Oryzias latipes: one gene and its partners. The protein of the gene in region 2 interacts with the protein of the main gene of each other region in a pairwise test. Links are inferred from orthologs where the notes say so. Each region holds a gene or a part of one and is shown on either strand. Other genes may lie near its edges.

Region 1 (4,946 bases), on a different chromosome or scaffold from region 2:
ACAGCGGATTGTGTTAAGTTGGCTTCCAACTGGTTAACAGCCAACTTTGGAACATAACTTCTGCAATAAATAAGAGAACATTGTAATCTAAAAAAACCATTTGTAATGACTAATCTCATTGTGGAATGCTTATATAAAGCGTGATCACCGCTCACAAAGGAAAGGAGGGCGCATTGGTTGAAGATAGAATGCCATGACAGACAGGGTTTAACACACAGGTTTACTGTCAGAGCGTTAATAAAATAAGTCGTCAGCACGAGATAGTTAACTCAACAACAAAACAAGTGAGTAGATGTTAACGGAGCCCCACGTGTTATAAATATTTATAGTGTATGCTCTATTTCTAAGTATGACTTTGCAATAGTGGCTCTTGCACCAAAACTCTCCAGTGATTTCATTGTTTGATGAAGACTTGGAATTTGCCAGGTCTGCCTAAATTTAACCAACAATGAAGCTCAACACGGGTCATTCAGATGCTGCCAGAAACAACAGTTTTTCACAGATTCATCTTCAGACAATACGTCGACAAACCAAAACGCAAAATTATTACACAGTAGGAGACTTAAACCCCATTTCAGACAACTTTAAAAGCTATTGCAGAAACAAATATTTTTGAAACCTTAAGAAAGACTTACAGCCTCCGTGTGGATGGGGTGAACAGCAAACAGCAAAGCCGCCACCAAACCGGAGGTCTTGTCCAGGAACAGTCGGCAAACACGCAGGAAGAGAACGCACACAGCAGCGTGTAAAATGATATTGAGCAGGTGGTAGGAAGCTGCACTGAGCTCACTGAAGAGGTAGTTCAGTCGGAATGTGAGTACTGTCAGGGGTCTGTAAGACTTGTGGCTTCGCTCCTGCAACGGGACACAGGTGGCAATGACTGTCAGATGAAAGTTTACCTTTTTTCATTTAAACTCAAACATGGTGGAAAGGAGTTCCTATTCTTGGTTTCATATAACAGAGCAGAACAATACAAACATCAAGGATAGCGTGTATTTGCGCAACATGATTAAAAGGGCATTAAAATGTAGTCATTACCTCAGTCATAGGTGTTCCCCAAAAGTCATTAAGAAAAAGGTTGTGAAGAGGGGTTGCGGGCCGGAGGTCCTTGTTGTCCAGGATGGCAGAGACATCATCAAACACAAACCCACATGACAGACTGTTCCAGTAGCATCCCGCCACCAGTCCAGTCAAAAGAACAATCTCCTTCCACGACACGAAAGCCATTTCTGACAAAAGCCGTCATTGATCACTGCAAAGGAGAGCAAACGGGACTGATCATTTATGGGGAATTAATAAACCATTATGGAAACCGCTTAATTTAAATGCGGGTCAAACTAAGCGACCAAAGGTTACTAGATGTCAAAGTGCAGCTGCTGCAGTGCAACCTGTTCAAATTTAACTCTAAACTAAACAATTTACTTACCAAGCAAAACACCCCGGTTTCTACCCCTTTTAATATATGCAACTGAATAACAACAACGCCGTTAATAATTCAAGAACCCCCCAAAATAATAAACAACTACTAGTACTTTCTGGTTCTGCTAGACACACAGTAGTCCAGGTGACATAAGGGAAACGTTGCATGTGAAGCAAGCGAAACAAATGAAACCCATTTTGCTATCAATATTTAATAGCAATGTTTATCATAAACACTGACAAACAAAGAAGATAAAACAATCTGCTGTAACTTGTCATAAGAGTAGATACTTCCACAGACAGGTAGCTAAGGCTAACTAGCTTGATTCCAGGCTGCGTTCGAAAGCATCTGCGTGCATTTCAATGTTACTGCAAAACACTCCGATTTGTGTCACCTAGCTTACACCAGAGCAGACGACAGCATCAGCAAACCCCACACAAAACACTGAGATATCCCAGAACAGAAGAGCAGGATTAATCCAAATGTAGCTGTGAGTACCTGCTAGCGTAGCTGAATCCCAACTACCTCTTCTTCCGGTTCAAAGGTGAACGCGCACGTTCAAAACTAGCCGAAGGCGGCTAGAGGGAATTTGACAAGGTTTTATCGTAGTCTTGTTTAGACCACAAATTATTTGTTTGACTAGGGCAAGTTTAGGGATAATGTCGAATATTCCGTTTACACGCAATGCGGTAATTTTATTCTCTTCTATTATTATACTTTAATGGTAACTAGCTTTTATTTTTTTAGACTAGCTGTTGTTAGCGGTAACCTAGCAGCCAGACCTCAGGAAGATTGTTGTGCAGCTTCAATAATCAGTCTGTGACCCATAATATACATGACGTTTCCAATGCGTTTATTTGAAGACTGATTTTTGACGTTAAATATTTTCTTCTTCTTGGCAGTTTTCTCCCTGAGTACCACTACTAGCTACGAACGGTCAAAAAATGCCAACCGTTCTCGACTGGAATAAGGTTTCAGGGATTGACCCAGGAATCCTCCTTGAATGTAAAAATAACAAAGTGGACGAGGTCGTCGGCATGCTTATTTCGGTAAACTTTCATGCACTGTCTCTGATAGTCCTGCCACAGCTTACTTCGGAAGAAAATTGCACCTTAAGTGGGCTATTTTTTACCATAATTCAAAAAGGGTTAATCTAATTTAGAAGTGATTTAAATAAACCGCCTGTTGAGGTCAAAGTGCATTCAAAATGACTTTAAAAATGCAGCTTAAGAAAAACAAATTACCCCACCCACCCAATTTGATGTTTTGCCCCTTTACCAAGAGCAGCATTGTAGTGACTGGTTAATGTGAAGAGTATCTCTTAACAGTTAATTCTGCATAAAGTTGATTTCATACATGGTTATTTAAACTTAAACATGCTTTAAAAGCCTTTATATCTTCAGAGGGTCAGCTACACTCATTACTACATTCTCTACATGTTCTGTTTTTTTGTTGTTCACTATTCCTTTCATCTTTTACCTCAACCTCCTGAACAACAACATGACAAATATTATTACTTAATATACATGTTTTACCTGATATTTGGGAAAGTAATCATTTCTGTTTGTAAAATTTCCTCAAATGTCCTGTCAAGAGTAATGAGGAGCTGTGAAGATTTGGACTTGCAGTTTCCATGTAGCTCATTTTTAAATTTTTAATCATTTATTTACCTTGTGACGGCACGGTGGTGCAGTGGTTAGCCTCCGGCAGCCACGTATATAAACAGATTAGAAGATAAATGAATATTTACCTTCTGTCTTTTGAAGTTTTTGGATCATATTTTAGCCAAACCTAAAATGTGCGTTTTAACTTGCTCCCTTGAAGCCAGTCACCACTGGGTGTTTTCAAAAGCCTGCTAGAGTCTGTCCTGTCTTTTGGAGTTTTATGTTCTTGTGTGTCTGTGTTTTTTCTATTTGGGATTTAATTTTACAAAATTAGAAGAAATTGTGAGTTCTTACATTAAGAATCAGGTAAAATGTTTTTTTTTTTCTTTTGTCTGAAAACAAATAGTTTTAAAAGAAAGTTGAGGTCCCACTCCAATCTACTTTTGATCTATTATAAAAGCATTGCCAGTAGTCTTAATTATAATTATGCTGTTTTTAGGCAAAATAAAAACTGTGTTGTTTTCAAGGACATAGTTTCTACAGAGTGGCAGGAGTTCATCAGAGGTTTATCCCTGAGTTGTGGGCAGGACTATTGGGGCAGAGTTTGCCTGCACTGATATTCCATTAATCCTTTGTTGACACTCTCTCCTGCTAGCTTACAGCCCCTCACAACCAAAGGCTAACATTAGCAGTGCAACAAAAATGATCACTAATATTGGAGCTATTAATTAACTGGAGAATTAAATCAATGGCTCTATTTGTCTTCAAGTTGATACATCAGAATGTGGTGGAGCAGGGAGCTTGTTGCCTGCTTTTTGTCTCTGGATGCTGTGGGACTGTCTTGGCTGAGATGTCTCTGAAGCATCACGTGGCAGTCGTGGACTGTACCAGTGGACTGGCAGACTTGGGTGGGGGTTCCCTTTTTTCAAGAAGTGGGTGTGTTTCAACTACTGGGGAATCACTCTCCTCAACCTCCCTGGAAAAGTCTATGACAGCCTACATGAAAGGAGAATCCTTCCAATAGTCAAACCTTAGTTCCAGGCACAACAGTGTGGTTTCTAGCCTGGTTGTGGAACAATGGACCAGCTCTACACCCTCCATAGGACGCTGAAGGGTTCATGGGAGTTTACTCATTCAGTCTATATGTGTTTTGTGGATCCGGAAAATGCATTTGACAGTGTCTCCTGTGGTAACGTAACGGATGCTCTGTGAGTATGGAGTTAGAGGATTCTTCCTGAGGGATATCTGGTCTTCTATGACCGTAGTAGGACCTTGGTTTGCATAGCCGGCAGTAAGTCGGACCTGTTCCTAGTTCATGTTGGACTCCGACTGCCCTCTTTCACTGGTTCTGTTTATAATCAATAGAATTTCTCGGCTCAGGCAGGGGCCAGAGAAGGTCTGGATTGGGGACCACATGATTTCCTCTCAGCTCTTTGCAGATGATGCAGGCCTGTTGGCTTCATGGAGCCCAGACCTCCAGCATGTGTTTGGGTGATTTGGGGGTGAGTGTGAAGCAGCTGGGAGGAAGGTCAGCACTGCTAAGTCTGGCCATGGTTCTTTATCTGAGAAAGGTAGTTTGTCCTCTTTGGGTGGGTGGAGTGCTTTTGTCCCAGATGGAGGAGTTGACGTATAGTGGGGTCTTGTTCATGAGTGAGAGAAGATCGGAGTATGAGATGGAAAGGCAGATTGGAGAAGTGTCTGCTGTTAAGCAGTTGCTCTCTCTGTCCCATTGACTGAGAACTGGACTGAGTAAACCCTCCCCTCTTGCGTTCCAAACAGCAAGTTACTGTGGTCTCCAAGAAGCCAAAATCCCATAGACTTCTATGAGAAATAAACAGCTAAAACTCTGTAGGTTTATTTGACAAAATAACTATTCTTTCTCTTCTCCTTGTTTTTAACATGTTCTTAATAATCCTTATTTT
Region 2 (3,767 bases):
CAAATGGATTGTCCAATCACCCCCACCCCCCCTTTCTTTTTATCCCTACATGTTTTTTTTGAGTGGCAGATGTTTAAACAAGTTTGTATAACTTTGGTGCAGATTTATTTGTCTAATCCTAGTCACTTCCTCATTGCTCACAAGGAACTATTGTGCATGAAGAAAAAGTGATGTCATATGTTGATGACAACGAGTCATTTCAGAACCCTTACTATTTGATTTTATTTGGTTGATTTTTATGTTTAATAATGTTGCTTTATAATGTTACAATTCCGAAGTTTAATAATAAAGTGATGCACTAACATTGAGCAAGGGCTTTCTTGAAGCGTTTCCCATTGATGTGGATGAGGACATGGCGTGGCTCCCGGTTCAGATGCCTGAGAGTCAACTTACAGAAAAGCTGATTGCTGGAAGAAAAAAAGACAAGTATCATCAGAGAAGACATTCCAAAATCCAAACTATCCTGTTCCATTGTGTGCACTTTTGATCACTTATTGGCCTAACCCCCAAAAATAATTGACTGACATAGAATGGCCTTACGGTTGTTTTGTGCTGGGAATGATATGTGGTTCATACTGGCTGTAGTTGAACTCAGCTCTAGAGCTCAGTTTCTTATACTTTTTCCCTTCAGTGAAATTCTGCAGCTCAGTCAGGTTGCAAGGAAGTTCATGACCATTCAGAGTGCACTTGATCTGCAAAGAAACATGTAAATGGTTAAAACGAGGCGGTGCTGCTGAGTGTATGACAAATATGAGTGGTTGTATATAAAAAATAATATTACCCCCCTCCCCCCATCGATGCGACCAATTACATTTAAAATTGTTAAACAATGCCATTCCACTTAATTATTAGCACTGTGCTAGCATAAAGTTGTTTGGGTGCACGTGTGTCTCAAATGACGCATGCAAATTGTTGCTAACCTTTTTATTATCTGTAAGCTCAAAAAACGGTTGAGTGACGAGAAAAGCTCTGAGGTCCGCAGGTAAATCCTCCATAGTAGTAACAAGAACAAAATCTTCAAAACAAAGTTCCTGGTAAAAAAAATATTACCCTACTCCACCGGAAGCTACATACACGTGGTCATTTGCGCAAACTCAGTGGGTTAAAATAAGCGCCCCCCACTGGTCAAAACCGGGACCGGTCACATATTTTAAACAGAAACAAATAATAATGATAAATAAATCTAAAAAGAAATAATCTGACGTTTATTTTTTCCAATCTAAAATAATAAGATTATCGGAACCTTACGTTTTAATTTAAAAGAATAGCGGGCAAATCAGTAAGCTGCTGGCAAAAAAATAAGTTTTAAATATAAATCCGACTTCAAGTAATAGACATATTTTTTGTGTGTACTTAAATGGAAAGTAGACAATTAAAATCCGTGTACAACTACACACAGCAAAACTATTCAAACATTTTCTAAAAGTCATGTGAGCTGCGTCAGATGACTGTGACAGTTCAAGCACCAAGATTGTTTGAGTAGAAAGAGGCGTCACTCTTGATATATTCTACAAAATTACAACTGTTGTCTACAAAACTAAGATTCTTTATTTTTTACTAACTACTGTAAATACGATATAAATAAGTAAAAATAAAGTCTAAAACCTTTAATAATAAAAACGATGTGCCATCAAATAGAACTGATTTAAAATTATCATTCATTCAGACAATAAATTGGTAGTGAGTCCTCTTACTATGGACTGATAGAACACAATTTATTTCCTGCACTCAATTGGATCTTAAAACAACGTCTGTCGACAACAGATGTCAGGCTTGCCGAGGAGCTGCTGTTAATAACTATTTAAACCAAAAGTCGATCATCTGAAAATAAATTCAAGATAAGTTTGTAATTCTGATGACCCGATGGTTGCAGATCATCGATGCTAGTTGGTTAACAAGCATCTAGCTAGCAAAAGAACAGCAAAGGAGACGTAATCGGTGTGTTAAAGTAATATTGTTCGTGTCTTCGTCATCATGTCTGGACCAAATGGCGATCCAAATATCTCCACTGACAATGGGATTATTGACGACGAGGACGAATTTGGCGATGAGGGTAATGTTTCCGTTCATTGTGATTTGACTAACTGGTTTATTTACACTACAACACCTGTTTTCTGTCGCCTTCTTTTCATTTTTAATTACAAAATTGCCTAAAGTAACTGTTTACCAAAGTGTAGGGTCATCCTCGTACACATTTATCTTGGTTTGACATTGACTTTTAAATGGATTAGCAGGTGGGAAAAAATAGTGCATTCCAATGTAGGTCAAACCTTATTTAAGAATAGAAGAAATAAAACAAAAACTCCCAACTTTATTTAAAATTGCATAAAAATATGAAAAATGTCACAATTTTTTTTTTATATTTTACTGCAGACATCAAAGCTCTGATTTTTATATTTCTCCTCATTCCAGTCTTTGTTGAATCTCCATGTCTTTCATCAGGCGTTAATGTTGGACTGTTGTGCTCCTTCACAGAGTACGCTGCCATAAACTCCATGCTGGACCAGATCAACTCCTACCTGGATGACCTGGAGGACCGGAACGATGCACTTAATGGAAAACTGCACGAACTGCTGGAGTCGAACCGGCAAGCTCGCCTTGAGTTCAGGGCCCAGATTCTTGAGTCTCAAAACCAAGAGGAGCAGTCCATCCAGGGGGGGGACCAATCTGCAGAGCTGTCAGCTTCTCCGTCCAACAAGGAAGAGCAAAATACAAACAAGGGCTCAGAAATTAATGATAAGAGTGCATAGATCTGCTATTTTTAGTGTGGAAAGACAGAGAAGGTGGCTTCAACTCCTAATCTATGCTGAACAAGCTATCTTTAGTCCATAGCAGTCATGTGCTTCAATGGTTTCCCAGATTACATTCCATCTTTTCCTCTTTGGATGATTTATGACACATTGGTAGTGGTTCCTGGTCAGATTTTTACTGACCTGCATCATTTGCTTTGGAAAAAGCTCCCTGCTTTGTAATTATTGTATGCAAATATAAATAACCCAGATGCTTGTGTACTGTTGTCCTGGATTATGTCATTGTGCTGGTCCAGATTGTGCTATTTAGTTTATTTTTGTCTTATTTCGAGTTAATACCCGAATATGAAATATGTTTTTAAGTACAAAAGATCAAAATAAAATGTCAAAAATAGTCAGATGTCTCATTACAGAATATATCTCTAAAAGAACATGAGAACTAACGTTTTCACCTGAATTTATATCATAAATAATTCCCCGGTTGCTCTAAAACTATCTGGTGTTGATAGAAGCCACAGTCATCTTTCTCCTTCACTTCAACACTAACAATTTATTTATTTTGTACTCCAACATGTGCAGGAACTTCATAAAATAGAACCTGTATTTACGGGACAAAATAAGCCTCAAGTGACTAAGAGGACAAGACATGTCAGTGTGTGAATGTGTGAGTGAATGGGTCTGTGAGTGTAAAGCGCTTTGGGCCTTGTAGGTAGAAAAAGCGCTATATAAGTATACACCATATACCATGTAAAAAAAATACACTTTCCTGCCCAATTTCTGTATTTGATTAGTAAGATGACATCTGTTTACATGTTTTCTGATCAGCAATGACTGAACCTCTGAATATAAATGTGTTTTACAGCTGACGGTTGACAATGAACCTTCATGCAGATCCATCTGAGGATCAGAGCTCACCTAAGGCTTTTTCACACACAGACATAGCTCTAGATTAGGGGTCTGCAACTTTCAAAACTTCAATTCTCACTGGCCACAAAGTCCTTGTTCACCCTTTAGATT
Region 3 (4,782 bases), on a different chromosome or scaffold from region 2:
ACTGCCCAGTGGGTCATGGTAACTCCAGGAGCAGCCAATCAGAAGCCGCGAACAGAAGCAGGACAGAGGAAACCGGAAACATTGAAAACTACTGCAGCATTCGCTCTCAACCTTTATTAAACTAAACACATTCTTTTTGAATTAAAACTTATTGAAGAAGGAATACGTTATTTTTATTTCAATAGACAATGAAACTTTATAGTAAAAAAAGGTAGTATAGTTCCATTTATGTGTTAGTTTTTATGTGCTAATTTTTAAAGCTCTTTTATATAAAATTTAAAAATTTATAAACATCTTATTTAGGTTCCTTTTAAACGGTTCAGAGATGAGCAATGTAATAAACTTCATTGTGAATAGATAATTTTAGAAATGTAATAAATGATCAGATTAATCAACTTTTGCACAGTTTTTTTCAAAGTATCAATGAAAAGTGGATATTCTATTAAAAACAAATATTTCATATACATTTATTTAGGGGATATAAGTGTCATTTAGCATTTCTCAAAAGATTTTTCACTTCAAGATTTGTCTTTATGTTTTCAAAATATCTGTAGGGATTCACCTTTAAAAGTACACCTATTGGAGATTTTAATTGTGGATGCTGAAAGGTTTTCTGAAAGAAGACTAAGTCCAGATGCCATGACATAACCTCAAGACGTTAACCTGGATGAAGGAGTCTTTCGCCAATTCTGCTTCCTGGAAATGCCTTTTCTAAGTTTATAAATAGCTCACCTGGAACTCTAGTGCTTTTAGCTTTGTACACTCCACCAACTTGTGCACTGAGAGCAGTTTTGTAAAATGTAATCAAAAAGACGAAGACAGAAGAGAAAATAGCAAAGTGCATACTTTTATGTATAAGATTTATTTAATTGTTAGCAGAATTATGTGTGGACAGTAACAGAAAATACAAGACTACAGTTTATATATTGAGAGTACTACTTTAACCATTCTTGCTACATCCATTTGAAAGTTTGTTATTTGTCTAAATGCCCCCACTTGTTTTTGACGTAGCTGATCTGTCTTGATTAGTAAGTACTAGTTAATTACTTTGTGACACATCTAATGATACCAGTTAAAACTATACAGACACTTAATCTGATTTTGACCTCAGTGTAAAGATCAGCCACACTGTATATATGTCTGTATTGATGTTGTGAGAATGATAATTGCAAAAGAAGTAGTTTTTTGAGAGCTGGCTTTATGCAAAGGTCCAAAGTTTGAGTGTGTACTTGTCGAAAGGCATGAATATCGTTTGTCTTGAACTAAAAAACTAGCAAAAAACAAATAACCTTTCAAAGGCCGTTTGATGAGTGAAAACAATAGAAATTTTTAAATAATCCAGAAGATTTAGGTAAAAAAAGATAAGAAAATTTTTCATATATTAAAAATATAAAAAATTGATTAAATCATAGCTATAATAACTAGATGTGTTACTAATAAAGAACTTAAATGTACTCAGTAACTTAAACATAAATATGTGTGCATATAAGGAAAAGCCCTGAAACAAAGCAAGCAAATAAATAAATGGACAATATGAATCAGCTTACTTTTTTTTTTATTGATGCAGAACAAAAGTGACATACAGCAAAAGAACAAGGAACAATAAACTGTACATCAAATGTTTAAAATAAACGGCAGGGGATATACAGGCAAGAAAATAAAATTATATTAAATTATACAGCTGAGCAAGGTGATACGTTTTAACAGTTTTTTTGTTTGTACTGGGGGAAATGGAAAGTAAGTAAGTTTTATTTATTTTATTTTTTTATTTAACCAGGAAAGTCCCATTGAGATTAAAAACCTCTTTTGCAAGGGAGTCCTGGCCAAGAGGCAGCACAAAGTTACAAACACAGACAACAAATAAAATTACATTCAATTATAAAAACAGTTACATTTAAAGGAGTTGACCTCAAGTGCTCTCAGTCTGGTTTTAAAATCATTTAAAAAGATAAGATCAGGGAGCTTCCAGTTTTTTTGCAGTGTGTTCCATGACGTGGGAGCAGCGTGAGAAAAAGATCTTTTTCCCAGTTCTGTGCGGACAAATGGAACATTGAGCAACAGTTGATCATTTGAACGCAATGAATATGAATCAACATTTCTCCTCTGTAGTAAATCTCCAATGTAGGAGGGAAGCAGTCCAAGCATGGCCTTGTAAATAAAAATGTACCAGTGTCCTTGCCTTCTTGTGGACAGAGATGACCACCCCACACGAGAGTACAGTTCACAGTGATGTGTTAATGCTCTACAATTGGTGATAAACCTCAGAGCAGCATGATACACAGAGTCTAATCTATAAAGACAATGATTTGAAGCATTCATGTACAAAAGGTCCCCGTAGTCTAAAACAGATAGAAATGTTGCTGTCACAAGTCTTTTTTTACTTTGAAAGAGAAGCAAAGCTTATTTCTAAAAAGAAAACCCAATTTCAGTTTTAGTTTCTTCACAACATTTTCAATGTGGGGCTTGAATGTCAAGGAGTCATCAAGTAAGACCCCAAGGTATTTGTACTCATGTACTTGCTCTATAAGTAACATCTAACTTGGGCTAGTAAATCAAGAAAATTAGGAGATTTATTGCTGAATTTAGATTTGTGAATATAAAACTTGGTTAATAAAATCATAAGATTTATCAAATAAAATTGAGATAAAAATGTCTTATAATTAACTTGCAGGACAAGTAAGAATCGCCCCTCGGACGTTCATCCGTCCGACAGGGGGCGCCATATTTATGTGGGGCTCAAAATTGGAAGCGCAAAGCAATCTGGTACTTGTAGTTTACATAGTGGGGTGGTCGGATTGATAACGCGCCGCAGAACAAAACAAGACGACGCTCTTGAATATAAAGTTTAAACGTTGAAATCGTCGTGAGAAATAGTTTTGCCACGTGCAAGTTTGGATCAAATCGGCTGGAGTAAGTCCTCAAACTCGGAGAGCAGCTCACTTTTAGTGAAAATAAACAGGAAGTTGATAGCGTTGTGGGACGTGTAGTTTTGTGTGCAGGCCGTGGCGCTTGATAGCAAGGCATCGGAAAAAAAGCACCAATTAAATAATCCAAGCATCATTTAACCATCGTGTTTTAAGCATCGACTTTGAATAAACGATGCCCGGGTTCACGTGCTGTGTGCCTGGCTGCTACAACAACTCGCACCGGGACCGGGAGCTGCGCTTCTACACATTTCCAAAGGACACCACGCTAAGAGAGCAGTGGCTGAGGAATATTTCCCGGGCCGGGGTCAGCGGCTGCTTCAGCACCTTTCAGCCCACCACAGGACACCGAGTCTGCAGTGTGCATTTCGCCGGAGGGCGGAAGACCTACTCCGTTCGAGTGCCGTCCCTGTTTCCCCTGCGTGGAGTGAATGAACGCAGGTGTCGGCGGGGCAGAGGGAGAAAGGTTTACGCTGCAGTCCTCGCCCCCGCCGCCGCAGCGACCTCTGGGATTGTGGCCACTAGCGTGCTTGGGAACACGGCCGGAGGAGCCGAGGGCAGCATTGGAGGCGAGGCGGGCGACGACAGCATTACCGTGGTTCAAATAGGCCAGAACGGGGAGTACCTGGGCACCGCGCGGCTACCGGCTCAGTCAGAGGCGACTTGTTACTCCGCGCCATGCGGCAGCGCGGATGAACTGAGAAGCGACGAGTACTCGTTGGAAACCGGCACTAACCAGCCCACAGTGCATTACGTGAGTGTGACCAGCAGCCCTCTGGACCACTCGTACTCCCTGACGACTGGAACCACGTCAGCCGAACTACTGCGGAAACTGAACGAGCAGCGGGACATCATCGCGCTGATGGAGGTGAAGATGAAGGAGATGAAGGCGACCATCCGCCAGCTCCGGGTCACCGAGGCCAAGCTGCAGGAGGAGGTGCGGGAGCGGGACCGGCTGCTCGGCCACTCACCACCTGTTGGTTTCAGAAAGAAAATGTAACTCTCCTGAACAAACCTGGAGACCACCCTAACAGGGACAAGGAGATGAATGAAGCATGGCCGCCTGAAACCAGACTCTCATGAACTTTACGCCAAGTCTGACGTGAAGGATGGGATGGTTTATGTAGATAATAGTAATTAAATAACTGCTAATCACATAAACACACTGTTGGGGCTCAACAACGTAAGATTGTTATTCCTTCTTTAAAGAAGGCTCACTTCAACTGACCATCTTAGGGTGTTTAACTCTTGATAAGAAAGAAAAGAAAAAAATCCCTTTATTGTTAAACTTTTACGTTTTTTTTCACTTTGTATTTCTTAATTTAGTTCATTGTTTTCCAGAGAAAAATTAAAGGGCAAAGTTGCAAAATGCAGTAAGTAGGACTGAATGAAAACATTTCCCACACATTAACTTTTCATTTTAATCATTAAATGTGAATCTGATTGTACCGGAGTCCAGTGTAAGCACCGGATATGTTTTCACCCCCTATATTCTTTTTCAACAAAAGAAGTTTACCAAACTCATTCAAACTGCAGACTCGGCTGTCAAATAAGATGTTCCATAAAAATATGGATTCTGTTGCATTTGTTTAAGTTTTTTCCCCTAATAGGTAATTTAGTTAAAATATCTTTCTTAATATCTTGATATACATAATTCAACTTTAGTGTTTGTGTGTCGAGGTTGTTTCGATGAACCAGGTCCTGCTTAATCTGTGATTCTGTATGTGCCTATTTGTAGTCAGACATGAATTTGTGTTTATTGGCTGCATCTATTCATGGATGTTTTATGTACAGGATGTTTGGCACATTTCAGATGTTTTAGTCTATGGCGAGCTATGACAAAACCTCACCTTGAAAC

Evidence for each region. The genes of interacting proteins can lie anywhere in the genome.
Region 1: the proteins of c12h9orf16 (region 2) and cep290 interact in binary tests that used the Homo sapiens proteins (3 or more experiments, as listed by UniProt). The two-hybrid records come from large-scale screens. The link is inferred for Oryzias latipes from reciprocal best matches to the Homo sapiens genes BBLN and CEP290.
Region 3: the proteins of c12h9orf16 (region 2) and thap11 interact in a two-hybrid assay, tested with the Homo sapiens proteins (2 studies listed by BioGRID and IntAct). The link is inferred for Oryzias latipes from reciprocal best matches to the Homo sapiens genes BBLN and THAP11.

The regions. Positions count from the first base shown.
Region 1 is NC_019864.2:2,332,869-2,337,814, reverse strand, and holds the start of cep290 (centrosomal protein of 290 kDa), read left to right. Parts: upstream 1-1,999; 5' UTR 2,000-2,109; intron 2,110-2,322; 5' UTR 2,323-2,364; coding exon 2,365-2,469; intron 2,470-4,946. Other genes in the region: tmtc3 (transmembrane and TPR repeat-containing protein 3), read right to left, coding at 636-854, 1,039-1,227. UniProt on the Homo sapiens protein: Involved in early and late steps in cilia formation. Its association with CCP110 is required for inhibition of primary cilia formation by CCP110.
Region 2 is NC_019870.2:12,173,874-12,177,640, reverse strand, and holds c12h9orf16 (UPF0184 protein C9orf16 homolog), read left to right. Parts: upstream 1-1,704; 5' UTR 1,705-1,974; coding exon 1,975-2,053; intron 2,054-2,475; coding exon 2,476-2,750; 3' UTR 2,751-3,009; downstream 3,010-3,767. Other genes in the region: surf2 (surfeit locus protein 2), read right to left, coding at 304-407, 541-692, 921-995. UniProt on the Homo sapiens protein: Essential for intermediate filament organization in intestinal cells, interacts with intermediate filament and regulates intestinal lumen morphology.
Region 3 is NC_019861.2:21,742,678-21,747,459, forward strand, and holds the start of thap11 (THAP domain-containing protein 11), read left to right. Parts: upstream 1-1,835; 5' UTR 1,836-3,099; coding exon 3,100-3,924; 3' UTR 3,925-4,782. UniProt on the Homo sapiens protein: Transcription factor, which has both transcriptional activation and repression activities. Also modulates chromatin accessibility.